Linked DNA regions of Elephas maximus indicus. The main gene of each other region encodes a partner of the protein of the gene in region 2 in a complex. Links are inferred from orthologs where the notes say so. Each region holds a gene or a part of one and is shown on either strand. Other genes may lie near its edges.

Region 1 (7,902 bases), on a different chromosome or scaffold from region 2:
ATGTGCTCGGCTGCTAACCAAAATGTTGGTGGTTCGAACCCATCCAGTGGCTCCACAAGAGAAAGACCTGGCAAGCTGCTTCTGTAAAGATTACAGCCAAGAAACTCCTATGACTCTGTCACACAGAATCGCTATCAGTTGAAATGGACTCAATGGCACCCAACAACAACAACGAGGGGCCTTCAGAGTCAGCCTCCTCAGAAGGAAAAGTCTAAGGGGAGTTCTGAAGGTGGAGGAGGAGTCAGCAGGCAAAGAAGTTGGGAGGGCCTGAGAGGCAGGGACAGGCATTGAGAGCAGAGTGAAGAGCGTGGGTGAAGTCCAGGAGGTATGAAAAACAGAAGGTGTTCAGGGAATTACAAGGTATACAGTTTGGGTAAAGCATCAAGCCAAGGGGTGAGGCCGGCAGGACCTGGAACCTGTAGGGTCCTGTGGGCCATGAGAGAGGTCCTGAACTTGAACCTGAGTGCATTACAAACTGGCTGCTGGGCAGGAATGGAAGCTGGAAGATCAGGCGAAGAGCCAAGGGCTCATGGTGGAACAGAGGAGGTGGGGTGGAAAGGCCTGGGTGCCCCATGAGAGTTGTGGCCCCTTGTGCCTTTCACTGGCCCTTCTTGGCCCAGGTTCTTCCGGCAGAGGTTCAAGTCAGAAGATACCCCCAAGATCCATGTGGCCCTGAGTGTCAGCCTGTTCCTCCTGAATTTAGCTTTCCTCATCACTGTGGTGAATGGCTCGCAGGGCTCCAATGCTGCCTGCTGGGCTAGGGGAGCTGTCTTCCACTACTTTCTGCTCTGTACCTTCACCTGGATGGGCCTGGAAGCCTTCCACCTCTATCTGCTTGTCATCAAGGTCTTCAACACCTACTTCGGGCACTACTTCCTGAAGCTGAGCCTGGTGGGCTGGGGTAGGTGCTATCTGGATTGTCAGAGGAGATGGATGGGGTGGACATTCCCTCCAGCCAGGCCCTGGGGGGCCGGCTAGGGGCATTTCCCTGGGGAGAGAGGAGCTGTCAGACAGGCTCAGGGTTCAAGGAATGGGCAGCTGGAGGGGTTCTGGAGGAGGGCATGCCCAGGGAGGCTGCAATGCCTTAACTCCTCCCCTTGCTCCCAGGCCTCCCTGCCCTGGTGGTCATTGGCACCGGGAGTACCAACAGCTATGGCCGCTACACAATCCAGGACAAGGAAAACCGTACCATGCTGGAGCTGTGAGTGGCGGCTGGGGGAGCAGGGCTGATACCAGGTTCCAGGCTTCACATATCGGAGCCGGAGGGAGGGGGAATGGAGGGAGTCCTAGGACGAGAGATTCAGTGTGATGAGGCCAGAAAAATCTTCAGACCCAGCTAGCTCATGGCATGCAGGGGTAAATTGAGGCCTGGAGAGAGGAAGGAAAATGAGAGAGGGGAGCTGAAAAGGGGGAAAGAGAACTGAGCCAGGAGGCAGAATACTGGGCTCTAGCCTGGGCTGCCACTAGCCCATACAGCGCCTTTGGGCAAATTGAAAAATGTGCCCCACCAGACGCTTAACCTGGTAAGTGGAGGACATGCTGGATTTCAGCTCCCAACTGCCCCCTCCACCCATTGTACAGTGCACAACCTGCCCAACCACTTGTAGCAGCCCTGGTCCTAGTCCAGGCTGTACTCTTGACGTATTGTGTGACCTTGGCCAAGCCCCTCAGGGCAAGCTTCAGTTTCCTCATCTGTACCATGGGGATGATCAACATGCTCTTTTAGAGCCTTTTGTCCTTGCAGTACAAAGTGGAGCTGAGCTGAGCCTTCAGACTCCTGCCCTGGCATTCTCATGGTGCCCACCCCTGAGCCCACAGCCAGCACAGAGCTGGAAAGGGCCAGCAGGGCCTTGGGCCTGGCCCCAGAGTATCACATCAGGGGCCAAAGGGGCTGGATGGGAACTGTGGTGGAATGGCAACCATGTACCTACTCACTGAGTCTTCAGGAGGCCGTTTGGAGCTGCCAGATGTAGGGTTTTACAAGAGAAGCTGACATCTGGATATTTATGCCAAACCTGTTTTTTAGAGGATAGCTATTAATTCAATTTTTTTTTTTTTTTACAATATATGTGGAGCATATGAAACATGCCTTTGGGGCCAAATTGGCCCTTTTGCACACACGGTCTAAAGAGGCCCTTGAGCACCTGCCCCAGGAGGAAAGCGGGGTAGGTGGGTGGAGATAGGGGAAGACATTTTGGTCTTCAAAGGTCAGTCAGGGGAGACTTCCTGGGGGCTTGCTGGGCAACGCTCTCCTCTCCTTGTCCCAACGGCCATCCTCTTCCTCCAGGTGCTGGTTTCGTGAGACGACTGCCCTGTATGTCACCGTCCATGGCTACTTTCTTATCACTTTCCTCTTTAGTGCCATGGTCCTCGGCCTGGTGGCCTGGAAGATCTTCACTCTGTCAAGTATCACAGCGGGCAAGGAACAGGGGCTGAACTGGAAGGGGGTTCTCACTGTGCTGGGCCTCTCTAGCCTGATGGGCATGACGTGGGGGCTGGCTATCCTCACACCCCTGGGCCTGTTCACCATTTATATCTTCGCAGTGCTCAACTCCCTGCAAGGTGAGGCACCTGTACACACACACACACACACACACACGAATGCACGCGCGCGCGCACATACACACACAGGAGCTTTCTGTGCTGGATTCTAGTGTAATTCCTTAGCACTATCTTCCAAATCCCTGCTGTCTCTCAGTTTATCCCATCTAGTTATCTTGGAGCCCTGGTGGAGCAGTGGTTAAGAGCTCAGCTGCTAACCAAAAGGTCAGCAGTTCAAATCTACCAGCGACTCCTTCGAAACCCTATGGGGCAGTTCTACTCTGTCCTATAGTGTCCCTATGAGTTGGCATCAACTCGACAGCAACAGGTTTTTTTGTTTTTAGAGTTATCTTGACTGTTAAGCTTTTTTTTTTTATTTCAGAGATCCTATATTTTTACTCTTTTTTTTATTGTGATTTAAGTGAAAGTTCACAATTCAAATCAGTTTCTCGTACAAAAACTTATACACACATCGTTATGTGACCCTAGTCACTCTCCCTACAATGTGACAGCACACTTCTTCACTCCAGCCTGTATTCCCCGTTTCTACTCAACCAGCTCCTGTCCCCTTCTGCCTTCTCATCTTGCCTCTGGACAGGAGCTGCCCATTTAGTCTCATGTGTCTACTTGAGCTAAGAAGCACACCCCTCACCAGTATCATTTCATGTCTTGTAGTCCAGCCTAATTTTTGTCTGAAGAGGTGGCTTCGGGAATGGTTTTAATTCTGGGCTAACAGAGAGTCTGGGGGCCATGTCTTCTGGGGTCCCTCCAGTCTCAGTCAGACCATCGAGTCTGGTCTTTTTACTAGAATTTGAGGTCTGTATTCCACTTTTCTCCTGTTCCATCAGGGACTCTCCGTCGTGTTCCCTGTCAGGGAGGTCCTTGGTGGTAGCCGAGCACCATCTAGTTCTGGTCAGAGACCCTATTTTTAATTTCCAAAATTTCTATTTGGTTCTTTTCTAGAAATAGGTTTCATTTTTCCCTGATTTTTTCCCTAATGTCTTTTAAGCAGTTTTTAAATAGCCCCCCTCCCTGCATGTCCCCACCCACAAGCTCACTGCTACCCCTTTTCACCCCCAGGCATCTTCATCTTTGGCTGGTTCGCTGTCCTCTACTTCCCTAGTCAGAGTGCCTCCTCATCTGCAACTACCCAAGCCGACCAGACCCACTCGGTGTCTCATGGATAAAGAGGCTGCCAAGTGGCTAGGCTGGGAGCTGAGCCCTGAGCTCTGGACTCAACTCTGACTTACTGGGTAACCTTGGGTCAGTCCCTGCTTCTCTCTGGGCCACAGTCTCCTTCTCTGCACACTGTGGCTGAGGAGGGGAGATGGAGACCAGGTTGGACCACGTGGCCTCAAAGGTCCCATCCAGACGCATCTGTGGTTCTGAGAGTTCATGAATCCAGGAATGCAGAAGGTTAACGCGCTCATAATCCTGGGCCCCCTCCCAGCATACAGTGATGCCTCCCCTCCCTCTCCTGCTCACCTTGGTAGCAAAGCAGCCATTCTTTGCCCTTACCCACCCTCTGGTCTCAGGAACAGCCTAAGCTTAAATAGGAGAGTCTCTTGTAGGCACAGACCCTTGAAGGAGCCCCAGCCTCTCCCCTTACCCCTGTCACTTCCCTCTCAGACTCCAACTTCTGGCTGCTTGTACCTGTGAGGGGAGGTTTCCAGGAGGTCATTGTCCCCTCAGGCATTGGAGGAGTTGTTGGCTGAACTTTTTAGGTGGGGGGTTGATCCTCCTACCCAGCACAGCCCTGGTTTCTGCAGTCCCACCTGGGTCCATCCTCCCTGAAGAGCCTCTACCATTCAGGGGCTGCCAGCCTTCAAGATGTCTGGGGACATGGCTTCAGAGAACGTCACAGACTCAGTGGGTATGACACCTCAAGCAAGTCTGAGTCTCCACTCTGACTGCCAGGCGGGCAGCTGGACCTCGGATCTGCAGTCTTTTGGGAGTGGCCAGACTGTCACATGCATACTGCACACCTGAGGGGTGAGCATTTTTGCTCCTGTCTGTTCAGTGTGTGGGTCAGGGGGCTGAGGGTGGGGGAGCAGGCTTGGCATTTCCACCAGAATTGGAACTCCAGTGGAGCAGGAACCATGACTGCCTCCTCACTGTTTCCGCCCAGCCTGAGCTCAGGGCCTGGTGCAGTTCAGGCCCAGAATAAATATTTGTCAGTTGAACGAATCCATGTGCAGGTTTGGCTCCAACCTGACAGGGCCCTGAGCCAGGAAGTGTTTCTCAGGCCAGATCAATTTGGGTTTGTTGTTTTTCCTCGTGGCTGTCCCTCCATGTCTCCATTGCATTTTGGTTTCTCTGGTAGGAAACAAAAAGAGATAGAGATCGTAGAGGTAGAGGTAGAGAGAGAGAGAGAGATAGAAAGAGAGAGAGATAGAAAGAGAGAGAGAGAGAATTAGCAGACAGGCTAACACTGAGAGAGAACAGAGACAGAGAGAGGAGGCAGCCCCCTGGCCTGCCCCAATCCGAGGGTGGCGAGCATTGATGTCAATTCCCTCCTCAGGTCCCACCTCACAAGTTCCCGACCCCATTAGCCTTAACTCTAGCCTTAACTTACTAAGTGCCGTGGGAAATCTCACCCTCCCACACAACCTCTAACTTTTCCAATGTGCTTTGGACACTGCCAAGTGCCTTACACAGGAGAGAAGTTATTATTACTAGACCCTCCCTCACAGCCCCAAAGCTGTGTGAGCTACCAGCTGCCTCCCCCTCCCAGGTGCTGGTGCTGATGTCTGACAGGAATGGAGGTGGTGCTCCCAGAAGCCCTTGCTTCCCCCTCCTCCCACCCTGCAAACAGACAGGAAGGCTTTATGCAATTCACTGTGTTCCTGGAAGGGAAATCCTGAGGTGTGCACACTGCATCTGTTGAGCCTCATTATCAGTTTTTGTGGACAAACTTGCTAGGTTTCAGACTTATCTTCATAGACATCTGTTTTTCAAGGGGAGGGCTAGGTGCCCTGACATCAAAGTCTCAGAGTTAGCAACCTGTGCTCAAAAGGAACAGCTGTTCCAGGGTCAGACAGGCCTGAGTTCAAATCTTGGTTCTGCTACTTAGGGTTTGTTACCCTGAGAATGTCACCTCACCTCCCCAAGCCTCAGTTTTCCCCTCTGTAAAATGGGGATCATAGAACGTCCTCATCTTGTCCAGAGAGCATTGAGACGACAACAGTAAAGTGCCTGACAGTAGGAGTAGGCTGACTCTCCAAGGCCTCCTTGGTTAAAGAAAAACCAAGCAGAACCTTCATGAAAAGCAAATCATGACCCTCCGCAGCCTAGATGTAAAATAAGAGCGTGAGGTTAAAGGTCCCTTCCAGATTTCCTCTATAACTCTGCCAACAGACCAGCTCTGCACTGGGACAAGGAACTGGAGCCCCAGAGAGGCCCAGCAACCTGCCCAGAGCCACTCGGCAAGTTGGGCTGAAGCTAGGGCTAGGTGCCCTAGGGAGCCCTGATGGTGCAATGGTTAAGCACTCAGCTGCTAACCAAAAGGTGAGTGGTTCAAACTTACCAGCCACTCTACAGGAGAAAAGACCTGGCAGTTTGCTTCCGTAAAGATTACAGCCTTGGAAACCCTATAAGGTAGTTCCTCTCTGCCCTACAGGGTCACTATGAGTCAGAATCAACACGATGGCACACAACAACAACAACAGGCGCTTCCCGAGCTGCTGACACCTCCTCCCAGGGCATTCCCTGGATTCAAGAATTATCGTCTTGTCCCTGACCTCCTAGTCTCAAGGGAAACCCTGGCCTGTGGCTTTCTCAGACATGCTCACCAGTATGTGGGGCTAACCAAATCGCAGGCCGGAATGGGCTCATTTCCTGGTACAGATGGGGAGATGTAGCCAACTTTGGGGTGTGCTCCTGTTCTAGCTGGTTCTCCACCCTAGGTCCAGGCAGGGGCTGAGGGGCTAGGGTCCCTTATCACCTGGGGTCTCTACAAACTGTGGCTCTGAGGGTCAAGCTGGACACTGTGCTGAGGCCAAGAGGAGTTGTGGCAAAAACATATCCCAAGGCCTAGAGTAGATGGACAGGGTTCCCAACCATTGAAGGGTAACAAACACAGCCCAGGAGGTGGGATGGCACTGAGGGTGAGAGTGCAGACCCTGAGGTCTGCCTGCCTGGTCCAAATTCTGCTTCTGCAACTTGCCTGGGGCAAATTCCTCACCTTCCTCAGCCTGTAAAGTAGGAGTACCTGGATGGTGCAAATGGTTAACTAGCAGCTGCTAGCCAAAAGATTGGAAGTTCAAGTCCAACCAGAGGTGCCTCAAAAGAAAGGCCTGGCAGTCTAATTCTGAAAAACCAGCCACTGAAAACCCTATAGTCTGACACACACAGGGTCACCGTGATTTAGAACCAACTTGATGGCAATAGTTTTTTGTTTTAAAGTAGGGATAACAGTAGCTGCCCAAAGGGTTGATGAAGGATTAAATTAGAGACCAGTGGGCATGTGTGTGGCTAAGCCAGGCTTTGTCCTGATCATCACCTTATAAGGTCTTAGGGTCCCGTGGTGCTCCAGGTGCCACAGGGAGTGTCCTCTTCACCTCGGCACCCTGCCTGTTCTCTCTGTTCTGCCCAAGTTTCTTCATTTCTAGTATTTTTTCATTATAATATAAAATATACAAGGAAATAAGATGTATTTACTCTGTGCTCTCAGATAGACAACTTAATATTAAAATATAAACCCCCCTCACAGAGAATTTATTAATTCAATGAAATTACAATAAAGATTCCAGTTGATTTTATTTTATAGACTCTCAAAAAATTTATTCTGTGGTTTATATGGAGGCATGTAGTCCTCAAAGAGCTAAGTCAACCTTAATGAAAGAAGGGCTTAGAAGGAAGACTTGCCTCCAGATATGAAGACATTACAAGGCCACGGTGGCAATCTGTGCAGGAATAGGCAAGACCACTAGGGAAACAGACCAGAGGCCTCAGTGGCAGACCCATGTACCCCTGGGACTTAAAACACAACAAGGTGGATCACCAAGAAGGGACATATGGCCTGATAGATGGTGCTGGAAAATTGTCTCATTATACATAGAAAAATAAAACAGGATCCCTACTTAACCCTTCATACAGAGCTGGGCTCTAGGCAGATTAAAGATCTTACTGGGGAAACAGTGCTGTATAGTTAAAGTTGGAAAGTATCTTTGTGAGTTAGGGGCAAGGAAGGACTTCTCCAACAAAAATTCAAAATCACAAAACATTAGATCAAAGCCAGATACATTACATCAAAATTAAGGCTTTCTGTTTAATGAAGGACCATGGACAAAGTTATCAGACATATGACAAAATGGGAGAAGATATCTGCAACATCAAAAACCAACCAGAAATTAACATGTG
Region 2 (7,704 bases):
TCCAGGTTCAAAGTCATTCTCATTCACAAGTCCGGCCCAGTCCTGCCTGATATCTGCATCATCTAAAGTCACCATCAGTTACAGAATCAAGATCAGATCACAAGCTGGGTGTTAGGAGACCTGGTACATGTCCCCTGCTGGAGACTCCAGAATAACTATGGGCAAGTCCCTTATCTCTGACAACTAGGGATATAACCTCTGTCCCAGCCACATCAAAGGGGAGCTGTGTGGAGCCGGGTTGGCTTAATAAATAGGGAAGCTGTTGGGAGAGTTAAAAGCCCTCTTCAAAGGTGAGCAACGATGATGATTACATGTGGAAGCATAAATCCGGTGGTGCATCAGCCTTATGGCTCTGAGCTTCCCTCTCCTTGGGCACAAAGGAAGTGTGTGGGGGGAAGTTAGCCATTTAGCAGGCTAGGCCCACCCTTTTCATCCTTCACTGGGACTGTGTATAACCCCCAAGCCAAAACCAAGGCATTTGTGTCTGACCATGTACGCCTGGAATGTGTTCCCAAGGGAATGCCCCACCCAGAGCCAGGGCTGAGCATCTTGCCTGTCCGGGTGCTCTAGGCAGTCTGGCCAGCGTGGAGGGAGGGGGATGGATGCTATGATGCCGCGGCTGCTTTCAATCAAAAGGCTATTTTCAGCTTTCTGGGTGGAGGGTAAAGTCTGGGAAAGGGAATGGGTAGGTTAGATTCTTCCCTTCAACTAACATTTTTTTCCTTTTAACTCAGACAAGACATAATGGAACAGTGACCTCAGCACTCACCCCCTCTCACTCTTAAGTTTCCAACCACTTCCACTACTGGGTCTTTTGTTCCATCCTGGCCTGGTTATACTGGTTAGGATTTTCATTTCCTCTAGATCACCTTACAGGTGGACCAGGAAATGAGGCAGCTTCCCCCGACTTGATGGGGTTAGAAAATTGGGCATAACAGCTTTCCTCACTCAGGAGGAGGAATTGAAGGCTCCCAGAAGTGTTTTAAGCAGGGAGCGAGGGACACGGCCAGATTGGCAGCCTGGGATGAAGGGTGACGAAAGGGTTGGCAGGTGCAAGATGGCAAGGGGATCAGGTTTAGAAGGCTGGTGAAGAGGTCCGGAAGAGAGATGAGGTGACCTCAACCAGGGACAAGGCAGTGATGATGGGGAGAAGTGGATGGCTTTGAGAAATATTGAAGAGGAAGAATCAATAGGATGAGATGAAGGACTGGCTGTGAGGACTGTGTTGCTGTTGTTGTGTCCCATCAAGTCATCTACAACTCACAGTGACCCTATAGGACGGAGTAGAACTGGCCCCACTGGGTTTCCAAGGCTGTCATCTTTATGGAAGCTGCCACATCTTTCTCCCGTGGAGTGGCTTTGAACCCCTGACCTTTTGGTTAGCTGCCAAGTGCTTTAAGCACTGCGCCACCAAGGCTCCTTGGGGAAGGAGGGAGAGCAAAGAGTAAAGGATGATACCCAGTTCTCTGGCCAGGTTGCTGGCTGGATGGTTGTTTACCAAAAGGGCAAAGACAGGAAGAGAAGCAGAGCTTGAGGGGTGGAGTGGTGTGTGGGGACAGAAGGTGGTGAGTTCAGATTTGTATGTAATCAAGTTAGAGGTGCCTGTGGGACCAGGAGGAGTCCCCGGGTGGCACAAACTGTTAGGCGATTATTTATGAGACCAAAGGTTGGCAGTTCAAACCTGGACACACCTCAGAAGTCCGACCTGGCGATCAGCTTGCTTAAAAACCCTATGGAGACATTCTGCTCTGGCCATGTGGGGTTGCCATGAGTCGGAATCAACTCGACAGCAACTAACATAGCAACAACCAGTTTTGGGCTATTTTGAATAATGCTGCAACCAGGTCTGTTGGCCCTCCCTATTTACTTGCCATCAACATATCCTACTTTAACTGACAACACTCCAAATCAAGTGAGCAATAACAGTGAAGCTATTGGTTTTCATGGCCTGCCCCACCCTCTTTGAACTATCATGCTGACAGAACTAGGGTGAGGGGGAATAGGAACAGCCTTGGGTAAGTATACCAGAAACTCCAAGTTCAGTAGTTTTCATGAATAAGCTCTCTCAACTTGTTGTATGCCTTTGGTTGATGTCCACAGGGATGAAATACCCCTAGACAGTTTTGTTTAGCTTTATAGTTGTTAAAGTTTTTGAGAAGGGGCGTGTTGGCCTATTCTTCCATCATAGAAAGTGAATGTCCACAGGTGTCATTTCATATTAATATGTATATTATTTGATGAATGTCTGTCTCCCATGATAGACTGCAAGCTCCATAACCAGAGGAGAGAAGCTGCTTTCTTGTCTGTTCTACCCCAGCACCTAGAACTGTGCTTGGCCCTTTAGTAGGCATTCAGTAATTACTCATCGAACTTGTGAATATTTAAGGTATGATGTGAGAGAACTTCCTTGGGGCAGTTTTAAGCAGGAAGAGTTGTGGCTACCCGTGCTTTTAGAAAATTAGTAATAATAATACTTGCCACAATTTACTGAGCACTTACTATGTTGCTTCGTTTTGCTGAGCTCCTCATTGCTATACCTCATTTAATCCTCACAACAAACACTTTGTCTGAGGTATGTGCAATGGAATTGCATTTTAAGGATGGGAATGGGAGTTAGGTTCTAAAGTGGGCACATAAGGCAAAAATTGGTGTAATCAAAATTCCCCCCCCCCCCCAAAAAACTCCAAACTCGTTGCCATCGAGTCGATTTGGACTCATAGAGACCCTACAGGACAGAGTAGAACTGCCCCATAGGGTTTCCAAAGAGCAACCGGTGGCTTTGAACTGCCGACTCTTAGCAGCCGAGCTCTTAACCACTGCCCCACCAGGGATCCTTATCAAAATTATGTAATTGAAATGCTCAGTCACGTGAGAAACCTTTCATTGCATGCACCCTGGAACGTACAGTCGTTGAGTGGAACGGTAGGGGATTTATAACCACTTTCTCACTTCCGGCACCTATGTTTGGCTGGAAATAAATTAACTATGATGTGACTACACTTGACTGAGGGGAAACAGGCTGGAGAGTAGGGTCCTGGGGCTGGGACAGGATGGGGTGCGGGCTACTATTCCTAAGGGATCCAAAGGAGGGCAGCCTAGACCCCATTCTACATCTCCCCCTCACCTCCACTCCTTAACCCACCTGGTCACTCACCTGTTCTGAGGCCTCCAGGTCTCCTGACCCACAGTTTACCTCCGAGGTCCCCGCGTTGCTAGGTTACCCGCCAATCTCAGGAGGCGGGACTCGGGGTCTGACTGACTTTCCTTTTCACCATTCAACTCCTTTTCCCGCCCAGCTTATCCCGCCTCCTGGGAGTCTGACCACTCAGGAGTAATCTATCCCTGACTCTCCACCAATTGAGAGAGCCGGGGCTCCCTCTGGGTTGGGCCAAACGGGTGAGGCGGGGAGAGTGGGCGGGGAAAGGGGCGGGACTTCTTCGTCCCGCCCCTTCCAAGGCGGGGGCAGAGAGTTTAGCTCAGGCAGTGGGCGAAGACTGAAGAAGGACATGAGATTTGGTCAATCATAGTTCAGCATGGCAACCCAAGAAGCCAATAGACTGCGGCAGCGGAGAAATGGGGCGGGGCCAGCAGTGTTGAGGACACTGTAGGCGGTGGATGGGAGCGCTGGCGCAGCTGCCGTGGTGGCAGCGGCTGGAGTGGCGGCGACTGAAGTGGCGGCGGAGGCGGCTGCAACAGCTCCGAGCTCGGAGCTTGGGCGGCGGCACCGGCGGGCTGTGCTGTTTTGTGCGGACCCCTGCGCGTGGTCCGGGTTGCTGGGGCGGCGCGTGTAAGAATCTGGGGAGCGCGAGGACTTGGCCTGGGGGAGAGGCCAGGGGGCAGAGGTCAGAAGGCGCTGAGTATGAGGTTGCGTCTGGGCATCGGGGTGTGCGGGCGGGCAGGACGGGTCCTGAGGGGGGGGCGCAGGAAAATCACCAACGTGCTTCTCTTCCTCCAGCCCAGGCCGGCGCTTTGCACCCCCTTTTCTCGCCCCTGGCCCCCTGGGTCGGCCCCCACTTGGGGCCCAGAGCTGGGAGCACGTGAAGCCGGCGCTCCTCAGCCTTTCCTCCTCCCCCTCCAGCTCTCTCCCTGGCACCCTCAGGCAGCCCTACACCGGGCTCATGCCTGGGTCAGGCAGCCCCAGCGGGTAACGGGACAGCTGCTGATCCCCTTTCCCTGGGATGACTCCCCCCGGCCCTCGGTGTTCTATAGAGCGAGAAGCAAAGCCCACTGGAAGGAGCACTGGGCTAGGACTCAGGAGTCTGCTCTGTAGCTCTGCCTGGGCACCGTGTGACCTTGGGTAGGTCCCTTCCCCTCTCTGGGCCCAACTTTTCCTTCTCTAAAACCATGGTTTTGAATGTTATGGGGCACTGTTCTGGGAAGAGGTATAGGGTAATAATTAAACGGGGAAAGTCTCTGAATTCAGACTACCTGGGTTGAAATCTGGACTCTACCACTTCTCTATAGGGTCCTTATGAGTCGGAATCCACTGGACAGGAATGGGTTATTTTGGTATGGACCACTTCCCTGTTGTTTACTTACAAAAGGCAACTTCAGTTAAGCTCTCTAAGCCTCAGTTCCTTTATCTATGAAACAGGGATATTAGCTAAGGTAGGGTTTCTCAACAGACACCATTGACACTTTGGGCCTGATTATTCTTTGTTGTGGAGGGCTATCCTGTACACTGTAGGATGCTTAACACTATCCCTGGCCTCTACCCACTACATGCCAGTAACAACCCTGCCTGCCTCCCTCCAGCCAGTTGTGACAATCAAAAATGGCTGCAGACATTGTCAAATCTCCCTTTCGTGGGAAAACCCACTGAGCTAAGACACTGCAAGCAAGCAGTCATGTATTAAACAGTTAAACAAACCGACAAAACCAGTAGCCGTTATGGTAACGATAAAATTAGGAAACCACTTCTTGATGTGTGGAGAAGGTTGATAGAGTCTCTCATCAAAATAAACACAGGAGAGAATGGCAAAATGTTGGTAGTTGTTGAAGCGGGTGATGAATGCAAGGAAGTTCATTTACATATTCTCACTACTTTTATGTGTGTTTGAAAGTATCAATGGTAAAAAGTTAAAACAAGATAAACCGCACAGAATTCCCAAGACAGCATAATGGTGTCGTATGTGAGATTTCCTCTTTTTCTACCTCCTCACTACTGAGATTCAAAAGCAAAATAAATCCCCAGATTGGGAGGAAACTTAAAAAAAAAAATCTCACAGGAAGTTAGCCAGGCAGACTTACAAGCTTGCAGTAAGTAGAATGGTGTTTACTTTTGCTGCCTTGTTTTAAGAAGCTCTGCGGTTCCCTGTTGATGCACTAGGGTCTGCCTAGAGTCATTTTGATGATTTTTGTGAAAGAACTAAGTTGCCTGGTTGCCATTTCAGTGCATCAGCTTGGAGGCAAAGTTGATTGAGCCCAGAAGGTAACAGCTGGAGGGCGGAACCTACTGCTGTTTTGAAGTTCAAAGGTCCACAGTCAGATCTGCTGAGTCTTTGCTTTTCTTTTGGTCCTCCTAAGCGGAAATGGAAAGGAGGTCTGATAGCACAGCAGTTAAGCACTTGGCTGCTAACCAAAAGGTTGGCAGTTCGAACCTACCCAGGCAGCACCGTGGGAGAAAGATACGGCAGACTGCTCCTATAAAGATTACAGCCTAGGAAGCCCTATGGGGCAGTTCGATTCTGTCACATGGGGTGTCAAAATCGACTCAACAGCACCTAATAGCGACAGATAACCTGGCGTGCTAAGGTCAATGAAGCTAGGTACTCCCTAAATATCAAGGCTGCTACTTAGAGGAATCGTGGTGTGGTGGCTGGGAGCACAGCTCTGGAATCAGACTGTGTTGTTCCAAGCTTGGCTTTCTACCTGTGGGTGTTGGGGCAAGTTACCTAACCTCTCTGTGCCCCTCTGTCATAGAGGGATAGTAATCCTACCTATCTCATGGGGAAACCCTGGTGGAGTAGTGGTTAAGTGCTACAGCTGCTAACCAAAGGGTCGGCAGTTCAAATCCGCCAGGCACCCCTTGGAAACTCTGTGGGGCAGTTCTACTCTGTCCTGTAGGGTCGCTATGAGTCAAATCGACTCGATGGCACTGGGTTTGGTTTTTTTGGTTTTCTTATGGGGCTAGAAGAGTGCCCGGTACATAGTAAGTGCTCAAAAAAAGCGTATTAACCAATATTATTTTAATGGTTATATATTTTTTTCCGAATCTTTAAATCTTTATAAGACACACACAAATGTCTAGGGAGGGTGGTGGAACATATTAGCCGTAATCTCACTCTCCAAATTTAATTACTCTTAACTTTTCAGTATATGTTCTTTCCAGGTTTGTGAGATACGATTCACATACCATGAAAATCACCATTTCAAAGTCTACAATTCAGCGGTTTTTAATATAGACACAAGGTTGTGTAACCAAAACCACCATCTATTCCCAGAACATGCCCCTCAGTGACGGTTGTGTATGAATGATTCGCTTCCTTTTTCTGTCCCCCTAAACCCTAGAAGATGCCGCTAATGGAGGAGTTTCTGAGAAGCACCCCGGGGGCAGTGGCTTTGAAAGGGACATCAAACCCGAGACTACTTAAGGCCCTGGCCATCGCATCCTGAGGACTGTAGGAGAGGACACCATGGCTGTGAGCTTAGATGATGACGTGCCTCTGATTCTGACCTTGGATGAGGGCAGCAGCACTCCCCTGGCTCCCTCCAATGGACTGGCCCAAGAGGAACTGCCTAGCAAAAGTAAGTCAGTGGGATGGGCTGGGGGCTGAGAGATGGTGGGCTTTGTGGTCTATGGGGAGATGTATACCTGTTGCCTCACACCCACATCGGACCCCCCAAGTCGTGCCACTGAAATGACTCCCGGGAGACCCTGGCGTTTCCCATTCTACACACCCAGCTTCATGATGCTTTTGGGGGCTCCCTTGCCCTCCTGGGACCCTTGTCTCCCTCAGCCACCTGCATCCCTTGCACCTGAGAGATACCTTGGCTTTGACCGTGGATGTCTAGCTAGGGCCTCAGTCTAACCTGCTTCTTGGCTAGCTTCCCGGCCCCGTTCCCTGTTAAAAAAAGAAACAGATTTCCACACCAGACTCAGCCTGTCCCAGTCTGAAACTGTTGGCAGGAAAGTGGAGCTGACTGCTTCCCTCTGCTCGAGCTCAGCCCCTGCACTGCCCAGGACAGGGTGGGAGGGAGCTGGCATTTGTTGTGGATGTTGTTGACACACTCAAGTGAGCCATTGATTTGAGGGTTTTGGGTTCTGCTTTGTCTTCCTTTAAGCCAAAGCCTAGCACAAAGTGAACCCAAGAGAGGTCATGAGCTTTTAATTTTTTAAATTTTAATTGTGTTTCTGGCAGAATGGGAGGCCTTAAGAACGTTTCTGGTTTTTGTCCCAAAGCCATTTGCTTCGTTTGCTCAGGCTTCGGGCTCAGGAGAGGCTTCAAATAACCTGCCTTTTAGGGAGGGTCCTAAGTCATCAGAGACCAGAGCTTTGGGGTCTCCTTGGCAAGTGGATGTTCCCCCTGTCTGCCATTCGTCCTCGGCCAGGACAGAGGGGTATTGCTCTTCTCCAGTTTGCGAGTGTGGATACTTGGGCCCATGGAAGGACGAGCCTGGCTCCCTGGTCTCCTTTGTCTGGAGAGAGCACAGTGGGTTATAGGGCGCTCAGCAGCCTCCCTTGGAAGTAATGAAGGCGAGCAG
Region 3 (8,305 bases), on a different chromosome or scaffold from region 2:
CCATGAAAGGCATGCTCAGATCTCCTGGAGAAGAGCTCCTTAGGATCCACCTCATTGCCTGAAACCACGCCTACTGTTGCCACAGACTGAGCATGCCAGAATACAAACAGAAGCCTATTCTAAAAGGACTGGACTCCTCCCTCCAACAGCAACTTTGCCTTGAGGACTGCCATTCAACTGAGGGAACCTTGCTTACCGTGGTACTCTATACCCCATCCTTTCCTGCACCCTCTCCTTCAAAGATCTCAGATCTCCCCAACTTCTCAAGCTCCCTCCCCTTAATTCTACAAAGGGGTTTCCCTCCAAAAATCTGTGGCATGTCTAATTTGTTTTTGCCATCTGCTTCTCAAAGAACCCAAATATACATCTGAAAATGGGCTTGGTTTGGCAAAATCCCAGTTATCCGACATCTTCAGTGGAATGTCAAAACCAGTTAGTAAAAGCAAAGGCCTAGCGGCTACCGAGTCCTTAATTGAAAATCTACAACCATCATACTATAAATTGATGCATTAGTGCACTCGTATCTTTCACTTCAGCATACTTTCAAACTTAAAATATTTTAGAGCCCTGTTCACTTTCCTTTGTATATGCTAATATATCTCAATTCTGCACTTAACTACCTTGTAACATGAAGCCAAGGAAAGCTACTGTCTAGGCACTAATCCTAAACCCCATACACCACAGGATTAAACATCTTTTTCTGACGTAGAATCACATAGCATTATTTCACTCAATACTTCACATACTTGTAATTGCTATATTCTAGAATACTTTGCTGTCACAAAACCCAAGGATATCTCATCTCAGCCTATCTGAAACAACTGCCAAAACCTTTCAATATTATCTCCATATCCCTCCCAATTCCCAAAAGTCACAATTTCACCAAGCAGCCTACAGTAAACAGGCGCTTACTACAAGTGCTTTTAAGAGGTCATGAAAATAAATTTAAGCTTCATTAACTGACTCAACCTAATGAACTGAACAGTTACCAGTACATATAGTAAACCAGGGAGCCCCTGGGGAGTGGAAGAAAGGCCTGGCGGTTAAGTCTACTTCCAAGAAGATCAGCCACCGAAAATTCTATGGAACACAATCCTACTCTGACATACACAGGGTCCCATGGATCGGAATCCACTTGACTACAACTGCCACTCCAAACCTCCACCCCCAAGTTTATGTGCTTCCTGGAATACAGTGTTTTTCCATTCTTCAAAAAGTTATTCAAAGGCTGAGTTCAGATGCTCCATCACCGTAAAAAACTTTCAAGGTACTCTTTTCCACTATCCAACCAAAGCCTCCATATCTCCCATCTGTGTCAGGCTTTGTATTCAGGTACTCCCACCCTATCCTCTTCTCATTAAGACCCCCCAGAGGAGTTGTCTTCTAAGTTTCTGTAATTCCACTGACATATAGCACTACAATTTCCCTGTGAAATTAGTCGACTCCAATAGTCCTTTATTTCAATGTCCATTTTAAGCATATAGCAATTTAATTTAGAGGAAAGCGTTTAAACCATTTAACAAAAATATAAGAGAACAAGTAACAAAGCCACCATTTTATTTATTTACTTCTTAGTAAGTTTAAATCCTTGAGGGGTACAGCATCTGGGGGGAAAAGAACACAAGAGCATTAGGTGACTACATGTAAATTCACAAATGTTATAAAAAAACTAGTACCACAATGTGGACAAATCCCTTCCCATTTTCTCATAACTTACTTGGCCCAGAGTCTTGGGCCTAGGAAAAATACCAACTTTCTTCATCTATTAAATAAGGCTATTCTTCTAATAACACTGATATTGAGGATGAAGGGATGGGAAAATATTAAGAATTATCCCAGAAAAAAGATGTGAATTTATTTTCTAACACCTACTTCAGTGGCCAATAAACATCTTTGAGGAAAATTATTAAATGCTATTTTTTCCCCAGGCAGCTTTACTAAACTCTGCAATCTAAGCACAATCCATTTGAACACTCTGCCTTCACCTTTTTTGGTTTAACAGTCAGATGTTCTGTAATAGTTACCACTTAAACTGTGGCCACTAGTTTGGCAGCCTAATCTACAGGTAACACAGTACTAAGCAGGATCACAGTACCAGAATGGACCTTAGAGATCAAATCCCAACCCCTTGAACACAGTTTGACTACATAGAGGGCTAGTTTGGTAATAATTTTACTTACCACACGGATCCTGTGTCCAATGGCCTTAGCAGGAAGGTTGCTTCGGAATTTGGCACGAACCATGCCACTGTTTCCATGGGCCCGAGTTACCTTTCCCCAGATTACTCTGGTTTTGTTAGGTTTGCCGCCAGGAGTCACTGTGTTGCTGATTTAAAGAGAAGTGGAAAGTGCACGAGAACTCAGAATACCAGTAAAGTTTACACGTTTATCGGCTACACACTGTTCCCTCTTTGGTGGCGCAGTGGTTAAGAGTTCAACTGGTAACCGAAATACCAACAGTTTGAATTCACCAGGTACTCCTTGAAACGCTGTGGAGCAGTTCTACTCCTCCATCCTATTAGGGTCGTTATCAGTCGGAATCAACTCGACAGCAAAGAGTTTGGTTTTGTTTTTTTACTGTACACCAGGGGCTTTTGTAAAGGCAAGGCATGCTACAGTTTACAAAAGCCCTTTTTACAGGCTTAACACAATAATAAACAAGTAAAATATGTGGAACATGAGATGATAATAGCTGCAATATAGGAGAAAAAAAAAACAAAGGGGGCTAACAACTGGATGTTTCCATGTAGTGAGAGGGAAGAACTGCTTCCAATTTCAAGTAGTCACAGAAGGTTTCACTGAGGTGACGATGGAATAAAGGACCTGGTGAGGGAACAAGCCATACACGTATCTGGTAAAGACCATTCCAGAGGCAACCAAACCCCCAAAATAAAAAAAACCTGTTGCTGTTGAGTCAATTCTGATTCACAGTGACAGGTTAAAAATCTGAGAAGAGAGTTTGCTTGATTTGCCGGAAAACAGAAAAGAGATTGGAGGGAGAGGAGTTGAATCCTACCTAGGATCAGAAAGGAAATACGGGGCCTGATTGCAAAGGGTCTTAGACACCCCTTAAGGACTCTGGCTTTTGCTGAATGAGATGAGTCTGAGCAATGTACATGTGATCTGTCTGATAATTTTAAAGGATCACTCTAGCTGTGGCAGTGGACCAGGATGAAGTATGTCCCCAGAGATCTTAACTGGCCTGAGGTGGATTAAGAATCCAGGATTAAGAACCACTGCTCTGGACATGTAACATCTTTCAACATGTATAAAACATATAATTTTAGGAAATCAACTAAATGAATTAAGGTACATGGAAAGCGCTCTATAAACCCATATGAGCATCACACTATCAGGAATTAGCTTCTTCCTTGAAACAAGAACAGCTGTAATTTCTCTACATGGTGAAGTAACTGAAATCCAAGACCATCCACAAAAATAACGTCCTTCTACAACATCCCATGAATTCCTTAAAGACTTCAAAAGAAGCCACAGTAGAATCAATTGTTTTATCAACATCTATGTTTTATTTTTCTTTCAACAGAAAAATGAGGCAGATCTTAATTAAAAATTGAAAAGCACAGCAATATTATAAACTTACTTCTTTGCTTTGTACACATAGGCACATCTCTTGCCTAAATAGAATTCGGTTTCGTCTCGGGCATAAACACCTTCAATTTTCAGAAGAGCTGTGTGCTCCCTCTGGTTCCGGAGACCCCGTTTATAGCCAGCAAAAATGGCCTTGGACCACAACCTAAGATACACAAAATATGTAACATTAACGGTAAACTCTTAAAAGATGTTGTCAAACCTCAACAAACCACCGGTATAATTTGGCCCCCAACCCAAGTTACCTACAGCAAATATCTAATTTTTCTGGTCTTTTTAAACTCACATTTAGGTTCATGTTCAACAAAAGACTACATATACGAAGCAATTATATTTAAAGCTCATACCTTCCAGACATATTTGCCGGTTTCGAAGTCCTGTTCCCAGCAGGCCTTAAACAAAAAAGACTCAGTTCACAACCTGGCAACACAACTTTCCCACCAAGTGCCCCCTCGTTTCTCAAGCACATTAGACAAATTCGTTTTTGATTGACATTTCATATAATAGTAAAAGAAAACATTAATTATGCCATAACATTTACATGAAAGGTCTGTTAAGGCAACCAAGCCTCACAGAAAGCCTCTGATATGTAAGGAAACTCCAAAGTAAAGGGAAAAAATGCAGAGGCCAAAGAAAATCCGAAGTGGCAAAAATATACCCTTCACGAAATAAAAAAAAAAACACACCCACTGCCGTCAAGTCGATTCCGACTCATACAGGACAGAACTGTCCCATAGGATTTCCAAGGCTGTAATCTTTACAGAAACTAATTGCCACATCTTACTCCCGTGCAGGGGCCGGTGGGTTCCAACCGCCAACCTTTTGGTTAGCTCCTATAAAGAAAAAGTAAGGTGGCAAAAATATATACTTGACGAACTCCTAGAAATTTCAACAGGAAGCCCTGGGAAAAATCATGTCATGACCAACAGACAAAAACTCAGGAAAAATAAAGACTTATCGAGGACCGTATCCGAACAGAAAACGGACTTGAACCCAACCTAAAGGACCCACTGCCTTAAATCGGCACCTGTAGCCAAACGAAGTGCACCTATTTCACTCCGCTCTGGCCCGGAATCTACTCCTATTACAGGACCCGTTCCCCGGACGTCAGGGAACCAGCACCATCAACCCCGCATCTCTGCCATCCTGCCCTCCCTCTCGCTGGAATCCTTAAAATCCACTGACTACCAGGGTCCCCAAGCTGCACCGGTGCCTCGCGAAGCATATGGATGAGCCCACCCCAGCTATTTTGCTCCCAAACTTCAGCAGCTGAAGCTTCCCTCACCTCTACAGGCTCCAAGATGGCGGAAAAAGGAAAACCAAGACCCGCCGCGTTGCCTTGTGGGATAAACACCTCTCTTCCCTGCCCCCAAGTAGGCATCTTCCGCGTCCGCCAGAAAAACAAGCGTCAGGAATCGTCTTCGGACTGACGCAGCCTACATCCAAGAGCACTTTTACAATTCTTTGCCAAAGTTCTTTCATCTTTATAGGCTGCAGCATGCGTTATTTGGGAGCAGAGGGAGGCAAAGTGGTAGCCAGCTAATGGGGGAGAAGAAAAGGTCCCCCAAGCTGTGCGTTGCCATAGAAACACCCTAGCTTGGTACCGGCTTCCTAGGGTGCTGTAGGTGGAAAAGTAGAAGCCGGACTGAAGGACTTCTCCCCGCCTTGGACACCGCAGAATTGGTTCGCGAACGTGGGAGCATCTTTCCTTTCCACCACACAGGAGTAAGCGCACGGAGACTCACTTTCGGATCCTACCCTCGCCTGGAAGAGAAAGGCCGGGAGCGCAAAGGCAGGAGAGGTCGTTCCTTTCTTTCCCTGTTTGTAATTCCTCCTGTCTTCTCCCTAGTCCTTTACACCTTTCAAGAAATGACTTAAATTCTTTCCTCCGTCCTTCGCTTTGACCCCGAGGGTAAGGAGGACTGCCCTGAGAAGACCTATCACCTTTTTAGGAAGACCCCTTCAGCTGTCAGACAAACTGAGCGTGCCCTGCACCGTGTACACCCGTAAAAGGCCCTCAGTAGACACTGGTAGACTAGAAAGAGATGGGTTAGTGGACGTCAGAGATTTACATTTCCTAATTATTGAGAGTTTATTTGGATTGCCCTGTGGATTCTTTCATTTATTCAGCAAATATTTCATTGAATGACTGCAATATGCCAAGCATTGTTTTAGACCCTGAAAATACTTTTGTAAACAAACGAAAGCAGAAATCACTGCCTTCATGGAGCTTGCATCCTAGTAGGAGGAGCCAGACAATAAAGCAAGTAAAATATATGGCACATTACCCGTTGAAACCAAACCCGTTGCCGTCGAGTCGATTTCGATGCATAGCGATCCTACGGGACAGAGTAGAGCTGCCCCCATAGGGCTTCCAAGGTGGTGGATTCCAACTGCCAACGTTTCGGTTAGCGGCTGTAACTATAACCACTGCGCCACCAGGGTTTCCATATGACAAATTAGGAGGTGTTAACATATATGGAGGAAAAAAAAAAAAGCAAGGCGGCCAGTGCAAAGGAGGCTTTTACTCTGAGATGGGAAGCCATTTGAGGTTTCCATACAGAAAACAAAATCGGCTGCCATGGAGTCGATTCCCACTCATAGCGACTCTGTAAGACAGAGTAGAACTGTCTCATAGGGTTTCCAAGGCTGTAATGTTTATGGAAGCACACTGCCACATCCTTTTCTGGCAGAGCTGCTGATGGATTCAAACCCCTAACCTTTCAGTGAGGCGCGGAGCTCCTAATCACTGCGGCTTTCCGTACAGAGGAGTGACTATCTGCCTTAAGGGAGGCAAGGGCACCAGCAAGGAGATCAGTTAGGAGGCTGTTGTCATGATCCTTTTGGAAGATGATGGTGTGTAGACAGGGATGGCAGGTATTGGAATTCTGAATGTATTTTAAATGTAAAACCGACAGGCTTTGATGATGGATGAAGAGTGAGAGGGAGAAGAGTAAGGAATGACTCCAAGGTTTTTATAAAGTAGTTGTATAGAGGTCACATATAAAATCAGATTCTCTCTTAAATACATCAGGGTAGGGTTTCTGTACCTCACTCTCCCATCAGATTTTCTCTGTCCAAGAAATTGAATTCCATGAAGTTCCAAAAGTAAGCACTGCTGGGAGGAATAACACATTCAGTGTGAGTTTCATTTATTTGTTCATTCGTTCACTCCACAAACACTTATGTACCGAGCACAGTGCAGACACAGGATACAGTCGTGAGCATTGCTGTCACGTTTCCTGCTTTCGTGGGGTGGGGGAAACGGACATAAACATTACAGATTCTGAGGAGGGTTCTGTGAGCCCTTGAACAGAAGAATCCTGATCCAGCCTGGTGTGTCAGGGGAAGGCTACTTGGGAAAGTGTCGTCTAAGGCATTTTTCAAAATGCAAGTGATACTCCATTAGTCCATTGAAAGCGAAATACTCGTTTAAACAAAATATGATGGAATACAGTGGAGTCTAGACCTTCTGGTGCCACTGAAGCTGAACCAACACCCAAAACTATTGCCCTGAGATAATCTAAACCTCAGACCTCAAACCAATACTTCCCCCTGAAGTCTGCTTTGAATCAAACAAGTTTAGCTTAATTAGTAAAGCATGTCTGCGTTGCGCATTGTGTTCTTTCAAAGATTTATCTCTACGGGATCAAATCGACAACAGCATCTCGAAAGGTTAGCGGGCCTTGAGTTTATGTTAATGGTGGTGGAATAATTTGGAAAAGGAGAGTGAGAACAGTTATACAACTTGAAGATGGTAGACGATATCATTGAATTGTGCATGTAGAATTTGTTGAAATGGTGTAGACTTTGCTGTGTATATTTTCACTAAAATAAAATAAATCTTTAAAAAATGATAGAATAGAAAATATCAGGATGTATCACACATAGGGAAACCCTGGTGCCGTAGTGGTTAAGAGCTATGGCTGCTAACCAAGAAGTCAGCAGTTCAAATCCCACAGGTGCTCCTTGGAAACCCTGTGGAGCAGTTCTACTCTGTCCTATAGAGTCGCTTTGAGTCAGAATGACTCGATGGCAATGGGTTTTATCACACATAGTAACTAAATGGGTGTGTGTGTGTGTACATTCTAGGGAAGCACAGCCATATCTTATCTGCACAAAGCACAGTCTACCTATGCCTCAAGCCTAAAAAATGAAAAAAAGAAAGAAACAACTGCGTAACCACAGAACAAAATTACGCATAACACCCTGCTACCTCTTCCTAGGACTGCCCCTGCTCCAGAAAATTCGGCTCTTTTGGAGCATCTTTTGTCACTTTACACAAAGATTCTGTTTTATATGATTGAAGTTTTATATATAAGATGTTTATCAAGTGAGACATATTTGTACTACCCCCCTCCCTGGGACCACTTTATTGTGGACAAAGTCACACTGAAAACAGCCCTTACTTTTCAGTCTAGAGCACAATTCTCTATAGGTTATGTTCACTGTAAACCTTATCCAAGCACAGTAATTACTGAAGTAATTTACCTAGAAAAGGCGCCACCTTAATAGCAATATTAAACTGATTTCCAGGATAATTTCAATTTTTTAAAGCGTAATCTTAATTGTTCTTCTAATTTTGTTGTTGTTAGGTGCTGTTGAGTAGGTTCTGACTCAGAGCGACCCTACGTACAAAACAACAAAATACCGCATGGTTCTGCGCCATTTTCATAATCATTATTATGCCTGAGCCC
Region 4 (7,782 bases), on a different chromosome or scaffold from region 2:
CCAAAACTATTGCTCTTGAGTCCATTCCGACTATTGGCAACCCCACGTATTAACCAAAAAACCAAACCCAGTGCCGTCGAGTTGATTCCGACTCATATCGACCCTGTAGGACAGAGTAGAACTGCCCCATAGAGTTTCCAAGGAGTGCCTGGCGGATTCAAACTGCCGACCCTTTGGTTAGTAGCCGTAGCACTTAAACACTATGCCACCAGGGTTTCCACCCCATGTATTAAGAGTAGAATTGAGCTCCATAGGGTTGTTTGGCTATATTCTTTGTGGAAGCAGATCGCCAGGTCTTTCTTCTGTGGAATCATTGGCTGGATTTGTACTGCCAACTTTTCGGTTAGCAGCTGAGTGCAAACTGTTCGTGCCATTCAGGGACCTACAAGGCAATATAAAACCGATCCAAACCAACCCATTGTCATCGATTCCGACTCATACCAACCCTATATAGCAGCTGGTTAATTTCAATTGCAGGACTCAGGAGTTGGACTGCCTCAAGCTAAATCTCTACTCTACCTCCTAGCATCTTTAAGATCTTGGGTAAGTCATTTCACCCTACTAAGCCTCAGTTTATCTGTAAAATGGGGGTGGTAATTAATAGTACTTATTTCATAGGATAAGTATACTTTGCACATGTTATCAGGAGGGACCAGATCCTGGAGAAGGACTTCGTGCTCTGTAAAGTAGAAGGTCATTGACAAAGAGGAAGACCCTCAGTGAGATGAATTGATACACTGGCTACAACAATGGGCTCAAACATAACAATGATTGTGAGGATGGCGAAGGACTGGCAGTGTTTCATTCTGTTACACACAGGGTGGCTATAAGTCGAACCGACTTGACGGCACCTAAAAGAACAACAAATCTCATAGGGTTATTGGGCAAATTCAAGAAATAAAGGAGCTAATGTGTGTAGACATTTCATATAGTGTGGGCCCAGAGTCAGCATATGTTAGATATTATTGTGATAAAGATGTTACATGCTTTACCTACATAACTCTATTAAATTCTCAGGTTTACCATTATTATCCCCATTTCACAAACGAGGAAATTGAGGCTTAGAAAGTTTAAGTAACTAGTAACTTGCTAAGCATCACGTAGCTAGTAAGTGGAGAAGCTGAGGTTTGAGTTTCTGTCTAACACTCACTTTCAGGCACAAAAATATGGACAAATAACGAGGTGATGGAGTTAACTTCATGAAGCTACTAACTTGGTCATTCACAGTGTGTTTCCAGTGGGCCTCCCACTTTCTATAGCTCATGAGTTCTCTCTCCTTGTCACCAGTCTGGAGCCTGGGGTTGCCTCCATTCATGCTAACCTAACAGCCCAGGCTCCCTCACCCCCTAACTCACTCCTGGGCACCAGAACCTTCCACAAAGTTGGGTCATTGCCTTTCTCCTTTGGCTTCAGGCTCCATGGGGACCCAAGAGAATACTCAGGGCTCTGCTGTCCTGATCCAGGGCTCACACAGGGCCCTCGATGCTCCTCACAGACTCAGGAGTCACTGCTTGCATCTCTAGCACATTCCACCTCACAAAGGAGATCTCCGACCTTTTCCATCCTTCCTCAAGTCTCCAGTTAAATCTACCCACTCTGGACAGGGGCTCCTCCCACCTGCCTGAATGGGAAAGGTAAATAAGTTGTAGGGGAGCCCTCTCACCTTCCTGTCCTTTACATCCCTGGTCCTTAATGTCCTTACTTCCCTTTCTCTTAACTGAGACGAGGTGACACCTGGCCCCTTTTAAGGCCTGAGTACCTCTGTGCCTGGTGATATGCCCCCTATGGGCTGTCTCTGCCTCAATAAGTCGTGTCCCAGCACTTTCATCTCTTAACCTTTCTGAAAAGGGTTTGTTGTTGTTACTTGCAGTAGAGTTGATTCTGATGTGTGCACACACCCCATGTGTGCAGAGTACAACTGCGCTTCATAGGGTTTTCAAGGCAGTGACCTTTCAGAAGCAGAACGCCAGAGCTGTCTTCTGAGGCACCTCTGGGTGCATTTGAACCACCAATCTTTCAGCTAGTAGATGAGCACTTAACTGTTTGCTCCACCCAGGGGCTCCTCCATCTCTCACCTGAGCAAGTGGGTTCCCCTCCATCGGGGGAGAGCCTTTGCCTGATTTTCCTGCCGGTTCCACAGCCTCACTTCTTCCTAGGAAGCTGACCTTCTCTGACTCGCTGCCCTCCCTTTCTGACCACTGGCTCTGGTCTCAGTCACCTGGAATCTAGCTTCCAAGCCTAGTACTCTCCTGGGGAAGCCTCCCTTGAGGGTGAGTGCTCTCCTGTGCCAATCTCCAGGGGTGCTCTGCAGCGTTCGGCATGGACTGCCCTCCTACCTGCCTGCCTACCGGTGCCTCTCTGGTTCTCCACCCACCTCGCTGACATGCTGTCTCTGCCTCCTTGGCCAGCTTCTCTCCCTTCCCAGGACCCACTGAGGAGTGCTCTCCCCAGGCATCTGTCTACACCTGCCTGAAGGTGAGCTCTTTCATGCCTATGATGTCATGAGATGGGGCAAATAACTCCTCAGTTCCCAGTTGGGATTTCCCAGCTTGTGGACTCACAAGAAGACAGGCAAAAAAGTGTCTCAGACAGAGCCCAGGCACAGCATGCTTGGTCTTAGCCCGGTGAACCAGCAAACACACTTATCGCAGCCCCTAGGCCTGGGCTCCCTCCCAACTCCTGCTCACTCTGGTCTGTTGTCTCAAAAGGGATTCCAGAGGCTTCGCTCCCCACTCATAATCCCTCCCTTCAGCTCAGACCCCAGCTGAGAAGCTCCAGTTCCAAAGGTCAGTGGGTCCCTCCTCCATTCCACCTGCTGCCAATAGGTCCTGGTGTTCTCCTGGTAACCAAGGGAAACCAGCCCAGCGGCAGGAGGGAGGGAGGTGTGGAAGCTTCTGGACCTGCAGGAGGGACTGCGGCCCGAAGGAGCTGGTGATCTGCAGCATCAGCCTCTCCGGGAAGACTGGAGCCCCTGAGTTTATGATGGCTCTCTTCCACGACCCACCCAAAGCCCCACCTTCCCCTTTTCCTTACCACAGTTCTCCCTACCCTTCACTCCGGCCGGACGCTCCGGGCTCCACAGTGTGTAGACAGTGGCTGAGGCCGGGGAGGAGGTACTGAATGGAAGGGGGCCTCTTGTAAGTGCAGACCGGCCCTTCCCCACCACAGGAATGTTGGGAGCTCAGGCGATGGCCGCCTGCAGGTTTCAGACTTGTTGGGCTGAGGGCGCGGGCCTTCTCTCTGGGGTCGCAGGAGTGGCTTCTGGGCCCTGCAGGCGTGAGTGGGGTCCGGGAGAGGTCAGCCCTGTAGGGGGTTGAGTGTTCCTATCCGAGAGATCGCCTCACCTGCTCCCTCGGAGCCCGGGCCCTCGCCTTCTCTCTAGTCTCCGCGCGGCCTACAGTCGTTAGGGACGCCCTGCGTCGCCAGGGGGCGGGACGGGGAAGTCCCGGCACCATTTGCACGAGCTGGCCCGAGGCCCCGTGTGCGCGTACGCTTGCTTATGCACCACGTTTGGGTGGTGGTCGATATAAGCGCAGAGGGCTGGTCCTTTGTTATGGCACTTGGCTCGGCGGCCCGCAAGGTGGCCCAGGCCCTGCCTCAGGACACTTAGGTCTGTGTGGGGCTGCTTTGTGGGTAGTGAAAACTCTGTGGCCTTGGGGATGGGTATGCTTGGTGTTCTCTGGAGGTGAGGAGTGGGCCAGGGCAAGGGTCCTGGACTGGAGTACTTTTTCCTTATTGGTACCTTTTCAGGAGAAATGGTGCAGTAGGGTGGGGGCACTGGAGAGGTCCAGGGTACCTGCAGGAGTTACTGAAGCTCCCCCTGAGGCCGCCTGTTGACTTCAAACCCTGCAGGAGAGCTGTGGGCTGCACTGCATCCCTGAACAGTAAGTAACACCTTCCACCTTTCTTCAGAATGTAAATGAGGCTGGTGTCCGGCACCTGAGACAGGAAGGTTCCGGGTCTCCGCAGTGCTCTTTGGCAGAGCTCTAAACCTGGAGTCAATGCTCTCCTTGCTCCCGCCAGCCCTGTAGTGACAGGATGTGGTGGCCCTGATCTCCTGGAGGGTGAGGGTGACAGACTTCAGGGGGCTTGCTAGTAAGAAAAAGAAATTGTCCTCAGGAGGGGAGAGGCAGCCAGTGAGGTGGGAGGAGTTTCACGTGGAGGCAGAACTTAGCTTTAAGCTGGTTACCTTGGGTAAGGGAACCCTGGTGGCGTAGTGATTAAGAGCCACGGCCGCTAACCAAAAGGTCAGCAGTTTGAATCCACCAGGTGCCCCTTTGAAGTTCTAGGGACTGTTCTGTCCTGTCCTATAGGTTTACTATGAGTGGGAATCCACTTGAGGGCAATGGGTTTTTTGTTTTTTTTTTTTAAACCTAGGATAAAAGACGCCCTAGTGGCAGAACTGGTTAAGTGCTTGGCTGCTAACCAAAAGGTGGTTCAAACCCATCCAATGGCTCCTTGGGAGAAAGGCCTAGGGATCTGCTTCTGTGAAAATTACGGCCAAGAAAACCCTATGGGGCAGTTCTGTTCTGTTACATGGGGTTGCTATGATTTGGAATTGATGGTACCCATTAACAACCTTGGGTTGGCATTTCAGAAGCTCGGTTTCCTCATCAATAAAGTGTGGGTACCACAACCCTCACCTTGGTTCCCACAGTTTGTTAAGAAAAAGCTGGGCCTGTGGTGAGCACCACCAAATATGGCTACGGCTCCAATTACCAAGATTCTGAAATGAAGCTTTGCAACTCCAGAGGGCTGGAGCAAGCAGTCGAGGACCAGGCACCAAGGGTTCCAGTCCCTTCAAGCCCTCGTCAGTGATTTACCAACAAATCATCAGTCCCTTAATTAGAATGAGGAATTGTTCAAAAAATAAAGTCATGCCAGGAAGGTCCATCTTGCTCTGTATCTCATTTTTACTACACAATCCCAGAGCTTGGCAGTTGGGGCGGCCCTGACTTGAATATGGGTCCCTTGCCCCTGAGGTCCTTTCTTTCATCTAGCAACAGGGACTTTGGAGCAGAGACGGAGCTCCAGCATCTGGCTCAGTCCTGGCAGAGAAGGCAGGCTTCCCTGCATCCCTCAGCGTCCTGCTCTCAGTTGCCAACATTAGACTGTTTTCAGCTTCAGCTTAGGCTGGGAGCAGGTGGTGTGTACCTCGTTTCAAAAAGTAGGACTGCTCTGGCCTGTGCAGTCTCTCCAACCCCATCACCTGGCACTCTGCCAGCTCACTGTGCTTAACGGCACTAGCCTCCTCAGTTCCTACCTCAGGCCTTTGCACTGGCTGTTCCCTGAGCTGGGAACGCTCTTCCCTCAGATACCCACATGGTTCGCACCCTCGCCTCCCGGCTCCCCACTCAGATGCCACCTCACACACTCCTGATCCCCTTTCCACTTTTTTGACACAGATCTCATCACCATCTGACACCTCCTTTTTCTTGTGCATTGCCTGTTTCCCCCACTACAAGTAAGCTCCTCAAGGGCAGGAATTTTTCTCAGTTTGCTTCTTGTCAGTTCTCAGCAACTGGGCAGTACCTGTTGCTCAATTCATCAACAAATCAACAGGGCCTTAATTAAAACAAGAAGTCATTATTAATGAAACGAAGTAACTCGGTGAAGGTCTGCTCTGCTGTAATGATTTTTACATGAAAGCTCTGGATCTTGGCAGGCTGTTGGCAAATCAGGAGGCTTTGTTGGAGCCCAGGACGGCTCTGCATACAGAACCCGTCTGAGCACTCTTGGCCGTGATTTGGATCCTTTCAGCCCAGTGTGAGGGGAGACTGGGGATGGGGCATGCATAACAGGTTCTTGGGAGCGAAAGGCTGCTTTTTTAAAATAAAAGAATCTTCTAGTTTCCAATCCTCTGTGAAATATTTTTAATGAGGATTCACAGTCACGACAGCCACCAAGTGGGAGTGTGTCTCTGGGCCCACTTCTGCCTTCTCCAGTCATCTCCAGCTCCCTGTGTCCACACGGGGCTTGGCTCAGGGTGGCCCTTTCTGGCTCAGCTTCTCAGCCTTCAGTCCTCCGCTTTACCCTCTGAGGTTCAACTAGCTCCTCAGAGCTCCTGGCACTTGCACGTCCACTGTCTCTTTGTTCACATCAGCCCCCGGGTGGGCCTGGGTCAGAGCTGGGTGAGGGCATAGGCTCGGGCTGTGCTGAGGGCCGTTTCCAGGTCAGCAGTGCTTCCGGTGCCCTGGGCCACGACTTGAGTGCCCCACGCCTTGCCTCCCATGTGGCTGCACACAGCCAGTGCCCAGGCCTCTGCTGTGAAGGCAGGTGTGGCACCCTGGGGGCAGAAACAGAAGGGGAAGCCATACGGAGCAGCCCTCCCTGTCCCATGCGCTCAAGGTACCCTCGAGAATGGAGTGGCAGGGAATCAGCATCCCTTCCCCAGCTGGGTACACGGTGGAGGAAGCTGGGTGAGGAGACAGGAGAAGGGCTGGACTGGAAGTGTATATGGAGATTGATGAATGTCTGCTACTTGTTAGCAAGGGATATGAGGCCTGGAGAGGAGGGTGGGGTGGAAACTAGAGGATCTCATGCTGCTTTTACCCTGGGGGAGAGGTTCCTGACTGGGAGACTGACCTATCCCTGTCCTGGGGTGTCCTCATAGATCACCTCCACCTAGCCCCTTAGCTCCCTTTTCAGGGAAAAGTAAAAGGTGTGAAGTCAGAGATCTGGACCAGGAGCTGGGTGGGGATGGGGCTGCTCTCCTGTTACCCTCACCTGGGCCACCTGACAGGCACACAGCACATTCCCCAGGGGCTGGGGGCTGAGCAGTAGCACGGATGTGCTGGGGGCCTGCTCACACAGCTGCCGCACCACCTTCACCAGAACCTGGACAGGGAGGACAGATGGGGAACCCCATGGCTTCTCAGTCTCCGAACTACCCCCGAGACATGACTTCCCCTCCCCAGCCCTGGGGGCAGCTCTTCCACCTCCCCTGCCCCAAGACTCACTGAGAGGGACTCAGCAGGGACTGTGTCCACAATCAGAGGCCCATTCGTGTGCCGCTCCAGCAGCTCCTGGGTTTTCTTTGCTGCCTGTAGGGCAGGAAAGAAGGCAGAGGGGTGAGGGTGGGAGGCAGGTTTTCAATCAACTCCAACTCTGAACAGGGCCCTAACCCAGCAATGCCTTTCCCTCCTCTTCCCCCTCCCTCAGCCAAGGTCATCAGCTCTGAGAAGAGGTGGCAGGGGCTCTGCCTGGAATGGCCTCCTTTTCTCGGGTCCCATCTGGGTCCTTCCTCCCCTCCCTTGCCTCTTCTCTCTCATCACAGCCCCAGGGCCCTACAAATAGGCCACTGAAGGTGAAAGGATGGTGCTGGAGCACAGATGGCTGGGAGTGGGGGGGAGGCAGGGGGAGCCACAGTTAAACAGCCATTAGGGTTGAATGGTGTTAATCACATCAGTGAAGGCTTCCTGGAGGGAGAGTCTGAGCCAGATTTGGAAGATGGGGGAGAGACACGGTTTGGCAGAGAGAGAGAGGTGTGGGGAAAGGCCTGCTGTGGGCTGGCAAAAAGAGGAGGAAGGCTACCATTGTTCTCGCCCACCTCCCAGCACAGCCTGACTTGTCCCACGTACCCCAGTTCTTGAGACTCCACAGGGAGCGGGTTGGAGGTCTCTGGCCCTTGCTTGGTGTACTGGGAATCTGTCCCCGATGAGTTCAGCCAAACCTCCTCTTACCTGCCCTGTCTCCAGCTTGCGGATGGCAGTGTTGGCACGCCGCTGCAGCACCTTCAGTGTTGCCTGAAGCTCCCGCCGCTGCCACTGGGGCATCACAGCG

What was found.
Region 1: IQCD (region 2) and DRC7 share a complex: the UniProt entries of both Homo sapiens proteins name them as parts of the nexin-dynein regulatory complex. The link is inferred for Elephas maximus indicus from reciprocal best matches to the Homo sapiens genes DRC10 and DRC7.
Region 3: IQCD (region 2) and IQCG share a complex: the UniProt entries of both Homo sapiens proteins name them as parts of the nexin-dynein regulatory complex. The link is inferred for Elephas maximus indicus from reciprocal best matches to the Homo sapiens genes DRC10 and DRC9.
Region 4: IQCD (region 2) and TCTE1 share a complex: the UniProt entries of both Homo sapiens proteins name them as parts of the nexin-dynein regulatory complex. The link is inferred for Elephas maximus indicus from reciprocal best matches to the Homo sapiens genes DRC10 and DRC5.

What each region holds. Positions count from the first base shown.
Region 1 is NC_064839.1:24,569,584-24,577,485, forward strand, and holds the start of DRC7 (dynein regulatory complex subunit 7), read left to right. Parts: upstream 1-4,459; 5' UTR 4,460-4,533; exon of another isoform or gene 4,534-4,728; intron 4,729-7,902. Other genes in the region: ADGRG3 (adhesion G protein-coupled receptor G3), read left to right, coding at 621-901, 1,108-1,201, 2,288-2,562, 3,622-3,728. UniProt on the Homo sapiens protein: Component of the nexin-dynein regulatory complex (N-DRC) a key regulator of ciliary/flagellar motility which maintains the alignment and integrity of the distal axoneme and regulates microtubule sliding in motile axonemes.
Region 2 is NC_064840.1:11,361,451-11,369,154, forward strand, and holds the start of IQCD (dynein regulatory complex protein 10), read right to left. Parts: upstream 3,210-7,704; 5' UTR 3,155-3,209; intron 1-3,154. Other genes in the region: TPCN1 (two pore channel protein 1), read left to right, coding at 6,636-6,747. UniProt on the Homo sapiens protein: Component of the nexin-dynein regulatory complex (N-DRC), a key regulator of ciliary/flagellar motility which maintains the alignment and integrity of the distal axoneme and regulates microtubule sliding in motile axonemes.
Region 3 is NC_064819.1:17,036,702-17,045,006, forward strand, and holds the start of IQCG (dynein regulatory complex protein 9), read left to right. Parts: upstream 1-5,010; 5' UTR 5,011-5,409; intron 5,410-8,305. Other genes in the region: RPL35A (60S ribosomal protein L35a), read right to left, coding at 1,581-1,604, 2,181-2,325, 3,601-3,753, 3,956-3,966. UniProt on the Homo sapiens protein: Component of the nexin-dynein regulatory complex (N-DRC), a key regulator of ciliary/flagellar motility which maintains the alignment and integrity of the distal axoneme and regulates microtubule sliding in motile axonemes.
Region 4 is NC_064819.1:108,866,031-108,873,812, forward strand, and holds the start of TCTE1 (dynein regulatory complex subunit 5), read right to left. Parts: upstream 3,387-7,782; 5' UTR 3,034-3,386; intron 1-3,033. Other genes in the region: AARS2 (alanine--tRNA ligase, mitochondrial), read right to left, coding at 6,122-6,286, 6,727-6,837, 6,960-7,043, 7,683-7,782. UniProt on the Homo sapiens protein: Component of the nexin-dynein regulatory complex (N-DRC) a key regulator of ciliary/flagellar motility which maintains the alignment and integrity of the distal axoneme and regulates microtubule sliding in motile axonemes.